Arabidopsis thaliana: one gene and its partner. The protein of the gene in region 2 interacts with the protein of the main gene of each other region in a pairwise test. Each region holds a gene or a part of one and is shown on either strand. Other genes may lie near its edges.

Evidence for each region.
Region 1: the proteins of BZO2H3 (region 2) and FTRA2 interact in a two-hybrid assay, tested with the Arabidopsis thaliana proteins (one large-scale study listed by BioGRID).

What each region holds. Positions count from the first base shown.
Region 1 is NC_003076.8:2,709,036-2,712,400, forward strand, and holds FTRA2 (ferredoxin/thioredoxin reductase subunit A (variable subunit) 2), read right to left. Parts: upstream 1,564-3,365; 5' UTR 1,554-1,563; coding exon 939-1,553; 3' UTR 775-938; downstream 1-774. Other genes in the region: AT5G08415 (Radical SAM superfamily protein), read right to left, coding at 1,948-2,025, 2,129-2,239, 2,362-2,533, 2,746-2,903, 3,021-3,111, 3,326-3,365. UniProt on the Arabidopsis thaliana protein: Variable subunit of the ferredoxin-thioredoxin reductase (FTR), which catalyzes the two-electron reduction of thioredoxins by the electrons provided by reduced ferredoxin.
Region 2 is NC_003076.8:10,795,784-10,800,452, forward strand, and holds BZO2H3 (bZIP transcription factor family protein), read right to left. Parts: upstream 2,523-4,669; 5' UTR 2,365-2,522; coding exon 2,098-2,364; intron 1,859-2,097; coding exon 1,768-1,858; intron 1,665-1,767; coding exon 1,553-1,664; intron 1,489-1,552; coding exon 1,413-1,488; coding exon of another isoform or gene 1,331-1,412; coding exon 1,205-1,330; coding exon of another isoform or gene 1,138-1,204; coding exon 865-1,137; 3' UTR 674-864; downstream 1-673. UniProt on the Arabidopsis thaliana protein: Transcription factor involved in controlling responses to starvation. BZIP2-BZIP63-KIN10 complex binds to the ETFQO promoter to up-regulate its transcription.

The DNA of each region.
Region 1 (3,365 bases), 8.1 Mb from region 2:
CAACATTTTAAAACCGGTTCAATCAGGTTAACCGGAACTTATCCAATCGAAATCAAACAAGCAAAAAACCAATCCGTAAACCGCGACCGGGGAGAGAGAGAATGAGACCCAAAAAGGCTGGAACAATATTCCTCATGGATTGGTCATAGCTTAGCTTATCACATTGGAAGTAACAACATTTGGTACATAATCTTATGAGTCCACTACAACTCCTGACCTTATCTCAGTAAATCAAAATGCTAACAACTTGAGAAGAATTACCACAATACTACTGCCCACATCATATACTCATATTATTACTACAAAAAAGAGTTGCAGCAAAGGAACCATCCACATTGACACATAAACTAATTCCTCAACACTCTCTCATGCCATCATTACTTCTAACTCAAAGACTCTTCTACAAAGATCAGAGAATGCAATCCCACATTTGATTATACGAAACAAAGAGGATAAGAACCTAGAAAACAACTGATGTCATTCCTTTTAGTTTCTGGTTCTAACTACAAACAAAGATTCTCACTATAACAATCAACTGAAAACACTCTTTAGTTACATAAACCAATATCTTTACCACTTTCATGCTCACTACCATCTACTTCATAACCTCCAACGGATGATAGATTTTGAGGATAAGATCATTCAATGATGTTCATTTGAAGTGAACACATCAAATGCAAAATCAGTTTGATAGGCTTCTAAGCTAGTCAATGGATCAATAGACAGCTTTTAGTTTCTCCAACACAAGACGAACTATATACTCTGGGAAACCAAATCAGAAGCAAGAAAACAGCAATAAAGGATTCAAGAATGGGTGAAATCTTATGTATATAATAAGCTAAATGTATACAAAAGTACATACAAACAAACCATTCACAAAAGATTTTTCAAGTCTAATATCAGAAAGAGAAGAAAAGTTTTTGCCTTTTTCAATTCAATCACGGATCAATTAACTCGAACTCGTCTTCCTTAAGATGCGTGAAGAATTTGACAGGACCACGACCTTCGATCTCTTTCACGAACTGTACCTTAAACGGCAGATTAGCTGAGATTTTCTTTCCTTTCCAAAGAACGACGTAATCTTTGATAAAACCTTCCATTCCCATCAATTCAACCTCCGGTACACGAACCACATGGTAAACTTTCAACGGAACCGTAACCCTAACCCTAGCTCCAATCTTCTCCTTCGCTTTCTCGTCTTCCTCCGTCTCCAACGACGTAGATGACGATAGATCAGCGTCCGCGTCTACAGAAGCCGCCGATTTCACAGCAATATCGCAACGAATCGTCGATTTTGGATTCTTCCGCGAGATTGAGAAGGCGCATTTGCTTCGACCGTAGGAAGTAGATAATGAGATAGGTACGAAAATGGACGAAGATGAAGAGTTGATCGATTTGCGTCCACTAAGAGAAGCAGCAACTAGATAGTCTTGAGATGCCGGAGGACGAACGGCGGCGATAATCGCCGGTGACAGAGCGTAACTGTTAGTCATCTGCGTCCGAGCCGAAGAAAAAAATCTTAAGAAAGTGTGAGAGAAAACAAAAAAGATCATATCATTTAGCCCCTCATCTATTTATATTAGATGGTTAATTTAATCAAGGTGATTACTAATTTTGCTAATTATTTGGTTTAAATTAAAAGTCGGATTATTTTTGGATAAAGAAAGGCGACGCGTGTCAGACTTAAGACAATGTAAGAGATGAGGAACTTGTGGCTTCAGATAGAGAATCAACACTGTAAATATCTTGAGACAATTTCCAGATATTATTGGCAGGATTTTATAATAACACAAAACTAGTATATATAAACTTTTATATATCCACAATGGTTTCCAAATCAATTACCAAAATAAATGAAGTCTATTAAAAGAAACAAACAAAAAAGATAGGAAGAAGGCTTTGTGGTCTCAGCAATCATTTTTGGCATTATAGTAGCCATTGTTGTTATTAAGACAAGGATTTAGAGTAGCTTTCTTTCACCATTGTCTTAACAAAAAGCTCTCCTGCTCTATATGAAGATCTTACCTGCAAAAAGTATATATCCAATATCAAACAAGTACATTTCTGTATCTTCTATGTTCTCAGATATTTTTTGACATAAAGAGTAAGAAATAGTTTGTGGCTTTACCAGTGGACCACTTGCAACATAACGAAATCCTATTGATTCTCCGTATGTTTTCCAGAAATCAAACTTCTCAGGTGTGACATACTCTTTCACAGTCAGATGCAATGGAGTTGGCTTCATTGTGGAACAAGAGAAACGGTTTTAAATCGTAGATGTTCTTTGAAATTTGGGATCTTTCTATCTTGGAAATAGGAATATTGCGAATGATGTGGGGAATGTTGAAGTGATTAGTTTACCTGTAGATACTGGCCAAGTGTTAGAATATCAACATCTATAGCTCTTAGATCAGCCATTGCTTCCTTCAACTCTTCGTCTGTTTCTCCAAGACCAAGCATTATGGATGTCTTTGTGATCATTCCAGGTTTGCTGATCTTTGCATGTTTCAAAACTGACATGCTCTGCTCATATCTGCATTCTCCACATTATATCCACATTAAAATGGAGATTTACTACAACTAAAGATGCAGAACACCACCTATGTCTCACTTTAGGAGATATTTGACTGTGTAATATGAGATTGACATCCCGGAGCAGAGGATCAATTCACTGCTCAGCCCATCTATGCCATAACCAAATTTGCAGAACATATAAAAAAATGAAGAACAAGAAACAGCACTCACCCAGCCCTAGGATCCCTCACAAGTCGCTGGAGCCTTTTCACAGTCTCGACATTGTGAGCAAAAACATCCAATCCCGAGTGCACAAGAGTGTCGACAGCCTCCAAATCCCCACGAAAATCAGAAGTTAAGCATTCTATCATTATATCCGGCTTATGTCTCTACAGAGATGAGATATATATTTTCATTTTCATAAATACTCTGAAACAACATTCGAGAAATGCACAAAAAGGTATGCTTAAATAACATAATGCATAAACAAATAGAATATTAATAACCTTCATAGCTTTGACAGTCTGCGCAAAATGTCCACTTCCACCATCAGGTATATCGTCACGGTCTACGCTGGTAATAACTATGTAGTCTACACTGCAACAAAGGAAAATGCAAAATAGCATATCATGATACACCCATCATAAATTAACAAAGATGCAGTAGTGACTGTTGAGAGACACTATTTTTAATTTTCATCCCCTCTCCATTTATCCTATCTAGTTAAAAATTCTGAACACGACCATGAAGAGAATCTAAAGGACAATATAAGCAGATTACTCAGATCAGGAATCAAATAAAAGTTACATACCCCCAACTGGCTATGGCCTTGGCAGTGTTCTCTGGTTCCA
Region 2 (4,669 bases):
CTGACCGGATTTTTCCATTTTTGGTGGCAAGTCGGTTGTTTTCCACCACTCCTTTGTGCAATAACACGTGGGACGTGGCTAACACGTGTCTCATTTTAAACCTAGTCTTAATTTGATGTATTATTGTATGGGTTTAGTTTGGACTTATATCATGGGGTTTTGGATCCACAAATTTCACCTATACTTCTCTTATAATTTGCCCTTTTGGGTTAGTAATCAAAGAAATTGTCGACAAAAAAAAATACGTCAAAAGTACTCCTAAATTTTATATAATATACAAAATTTCTAAATATTTCATGAATATTAATTCTACAAAAGAGCATATTAATTCTTATTAGAGATGTTTTATCCGATCTGAACCAAATCAAAATAATCGATACGAAAAAACGAACATAATTGAATATCTTAAATCATAATTTAAAGGTTACTTTGAAAAAAAATATAAATTAATAAGGTTTAATTATAGTTATTTTATTTATATATATATTTATAATCTAATTCGGATTTAAACAAAAATTATTGATAGAAACCCGATTCTAAGAGCCGAAATTTGGGATTAAACTCGTAATTTCTAGTTTCAATAACCAAAATTATACGTTTGCATCGTTGCCTCATCACCATTTCAATAGTTTCACTAGGTGAAATTGATAAAACTTGTAATTCTTAACAGAAATTAGAAAAACTTTGTAAATTTAACAAAAGACATGTACAATGAAAATTAGAAGTTCAACACAAACAATCAACGAAGAAGACAAAAAAAAATTTAAATAATCTGAAAAAACAATTCTTTACAAAAACATACAACATTTTGTCTTAACATATGTCTTAAGATTAATGTTACAAATCAAGATTCTTCTTTAACAGCTACTGATCCCCAACGCTTCGAATACGTTTCTGCAGATGTTCCAAGCTCTCAACTCTACGCATCGAAGCTGTTCTGTTCATCTTGCACCCTATCAAGGCCTTGCCTTTGTTCCCCGAGCTAATGATCTCTGGTGTAGTCACTTGGCTGCTTGTAGTGTCTGGAGAATTTGATGTCTCTGAAGGAAGAGAGACAGTTGAAACAATCTGAGGCATATTGTGGAACATTGGGTTAAAGCCAGTGAGTCTCTTCACTGTCTCTTCAGCCATTTTCACCTGCCAAAAACAAACATGCTTCAATAGCGAGTTTTGGTAGACAGAGAGATAAAAGAAAGTATTTTACCTTTGCTCGTAGTGTCTCAATATTGGCTTTTAAAACTCTGTTTTCTACAGATGCATCATTGAATGTTTGAGTTACATCAGTGAGACCCTTCATGAGTTTTGAATTCTCTACACGAAGCTGTGAAACCTACACGAAATGGAGATTGTCGCACAAGTGAGCTAAACAAAGTTAAAGGAGAAAGAATAAGAACGCTGCGAGAGTAACATACTTGTGTCTCTAGCTCACTCAAGTGTGCTTGCTTTCTTCTTCTGGACCGTCTAGCTGATTCTCTATTAGAGAGCATCCTATAACAAACAAATTCACGTTCATGTTCATGTTCAAGTCCAAGAAAGGATGTAAATTTGTTACCTTTTAACGCGTTTAACATTAGTAGGGTTCATATTAGTTTCACCATCAGCTTCTTCTTCATCACCAGAGAGCTCAGATCCACTTGTTATAGCACTGCTCATCATTGGTGTAGCTGCATACAGATTGGTCCATTAGCATTTACAAGAAATCTTGAAAACAAACACAACAACTATCAATAACATCTTAAAAGGCTTATCATAGATGTATTGTAAAACCTTTGGAAGAAGCAAGAGAGGCTTGTTCTGATTCATTGGCTCCACCATTGTCAGATCTACCAGAAGTATCCTGAGGTTTGATGAAAGTTCCCTATCAAATTTTCAATATTAACACCACAAAATCAATTAACTAATGCAAATTATAATCTCAAGGAAGATAATGGCAAATCATATACAAAAGGTCCAATAAGATCTTAACACTCAAACATAACAAAACAAGATTAGTTTCTTAGCTTCAAGTGAACTCATCAAACTAACAGATAAAAAGGTTTTGTTTTTCTTTTTCTATGAAAAAAAAAAAAACTCAAACTTGAGCAGAGTAGTGAGTACCCTTTTCATGGCGACAGCAGCACAAGCAAGATTAAGTTTACTCTTGAGAAATGCTCTGTATTCCTCTGAATCTACAGGAACATTAGGAGGAGAGGAGACGGAAACACCACACGCCGTCGTAGATTCTCCGTCGTCTGCAGCGGCGGAGGATTCTTGTATGAAACGATTGAATGCCCATTCGGAAGCACTGCGATTCAACGACGTCATTCCATTAACCGACCAGTGATGGTTACCGGAGATTTCTTCGTCGGAGAAAACTTTTTCCATCTTTTCTCTTTTGTAATTTGTTTGTTTCTTTAGTTTTATTTATTTTTTTTTGGTTTCAAATTGTCAAAACAGTTTCTTCTTATCCGATTGGGCAGTCTTGCATTTTAATAATATGTTCTTTTCAAGTTTTGTTGTTTTGTTAGATATTTAATTGTCTGATTATTACCCTAATGGCCCCGACAAGAGTCGTGTATTTCTATTTACAGCAAAAACTTTTGATTTATTCTGTTAGGTCACTGTTTTCTTGTAGTATCTTAAAAAACGACAGGTCATAATACAAAAAATTATAACGATTTTTATTAACAACAGAACTAATAATAAATAAAAGGAAAAAAGTATCTGGAAATATGGTTTTAGTTATACTAATTTTTCTACTTTTTAGAACAATTTTTAGTTTATAAGATATATAGAATGGAAAAAATAATTAAAGTGTCAAACTTTTTTTTTTCTTTCTTAAAACATGTTTTTAAAAAAGGTGAGATTCGCCTACAGTTACAACGAATAATAATATTAAGATACACAAATTAAAATAGAAAAAACTGATCAGAGTCAAAAAAGAAAATTGTATCCTAGTGGACAATGGAAAACGGAGAATCTACTGCTTAACCCACCTTATCTCAATATCTTTCTTCGATCTCACAATGGCCGACACAATGACCGAGCTACGAGAAAAAATTGTTACTATCACCAACGTCCTCTACCATAAAGGGATTTTTCGAGGTAAGGGATTTTACTCACTCTTGAGCACTCAAGATAAATTCCAAGATTAGCGGTAAAAATCAAAAATAATCGAAAATTTTAAATTTAAAAACGATTCTTTAAGAAAGAAAAAACCGTTAGAAACGATGTAATGATTGTAATTTTTCAGACCATTTTATAAAAAAAATAAATAATATTATTAAGAAAACAAAAATTATTAAGATTATCAGAAATGCAGTCTCCTTCACAAACTTCATTGCCTAATTGTTTACTCAAATGTGTAATATATATCGATCTTATATTCCACGTTTGAAAGGGGACGATTAGGGGTTCATATTTATAAACAACAAATGTTGGTGTATAATTGATAAAAACAGAAGAATATGAGGAGCTTAAAGTAATATTTAAAATATACATGTAATAATATTTGTTTATGCCTTATTGGATTTAATAATATTTTTTTCAACGCTTTTTGGGGCAAATCCAAGTCAGACTGACGTGGCAAGGGGTATTTTAGTCAATTTAAATTTTGATCTGCATCACAAGAATATATAAATAATAAATATTATAGTTGTCGTCGGTTTTGTAACGTAACTTCATTTCATGGGTCCATTTAATATTCCCATTTGCATTTTACAAAGGAAAGGAGAGATCCGAGAGGAACATAATATATAGTTTTGTAAGTGAAGTTAGATTAGAGAAATGTACTAAACTTCTGATTTTTGGATAAGAATCTATCCAAATTCAAGTTGCATATTTTGGTGGGTCCTTTATTTTTGCATATATTAGTACACTTGTGCAAAACCTTTTATCAAGAGAATATCTAGTGAGAGAGAAACATAACACTTGCAAACCAAGTGGATGTTGGTGGTTTGACTTTGAGAATATCAGTAGTTCAACTCTATTTGAAAGAATGATTTACGTTTTATCAAAGTACGTCTCTATTACACCATTAGTAGAATTTTGTAGACTTTTCTATGTTAAAGTGGTTTAGAAAAATCTCAAACTGTATAATTTCGTGTGACATTTTGTCTTATTTTAGGAAGAATTATTATGTAGGTTAGGTTATGAATCAATTTCTAAATCATTCTTATTTTGACCTGGTGTCATGTTTAAGGTTTATTAAAAATCCGATGAATGGACTATTCAACGGCTACACTCAGAGTTGGTCCTAAAACCCAAAATATTTTTTGCCTATAAATATTTAAAATATAGCAAAATGATGCATTGGAGACTTAAACCTATAACATGAGAAACAAAAAAACCCGGAAAAATCACTGTCCTACAAGAAATTTATAGTTTTGGTGCTTTCAAAATGAAATATATATTTTGAGGCTTAAAACCCTTAATTGTTCAGCTTTAGATTAGGACAGACAGTGGATACATTTACTTTGAAAAAGTTTGTCGATGGTAAAACTGGAACACCCCTGATTATCAGATTTTTTTTTTTGTTGTCTTACTTTCAAAAGAGTAGGTTTATCTGTTCAAGAAACTATTTCTACATTTTTTTGTGGATTTTTTTCGTGTCGTGTATGGGTTATTTATTCGTTGGTTTGTTTTTCTTTTTCCGTATAATGCTGAAAGATTTGGAAAATAGAACATTGCC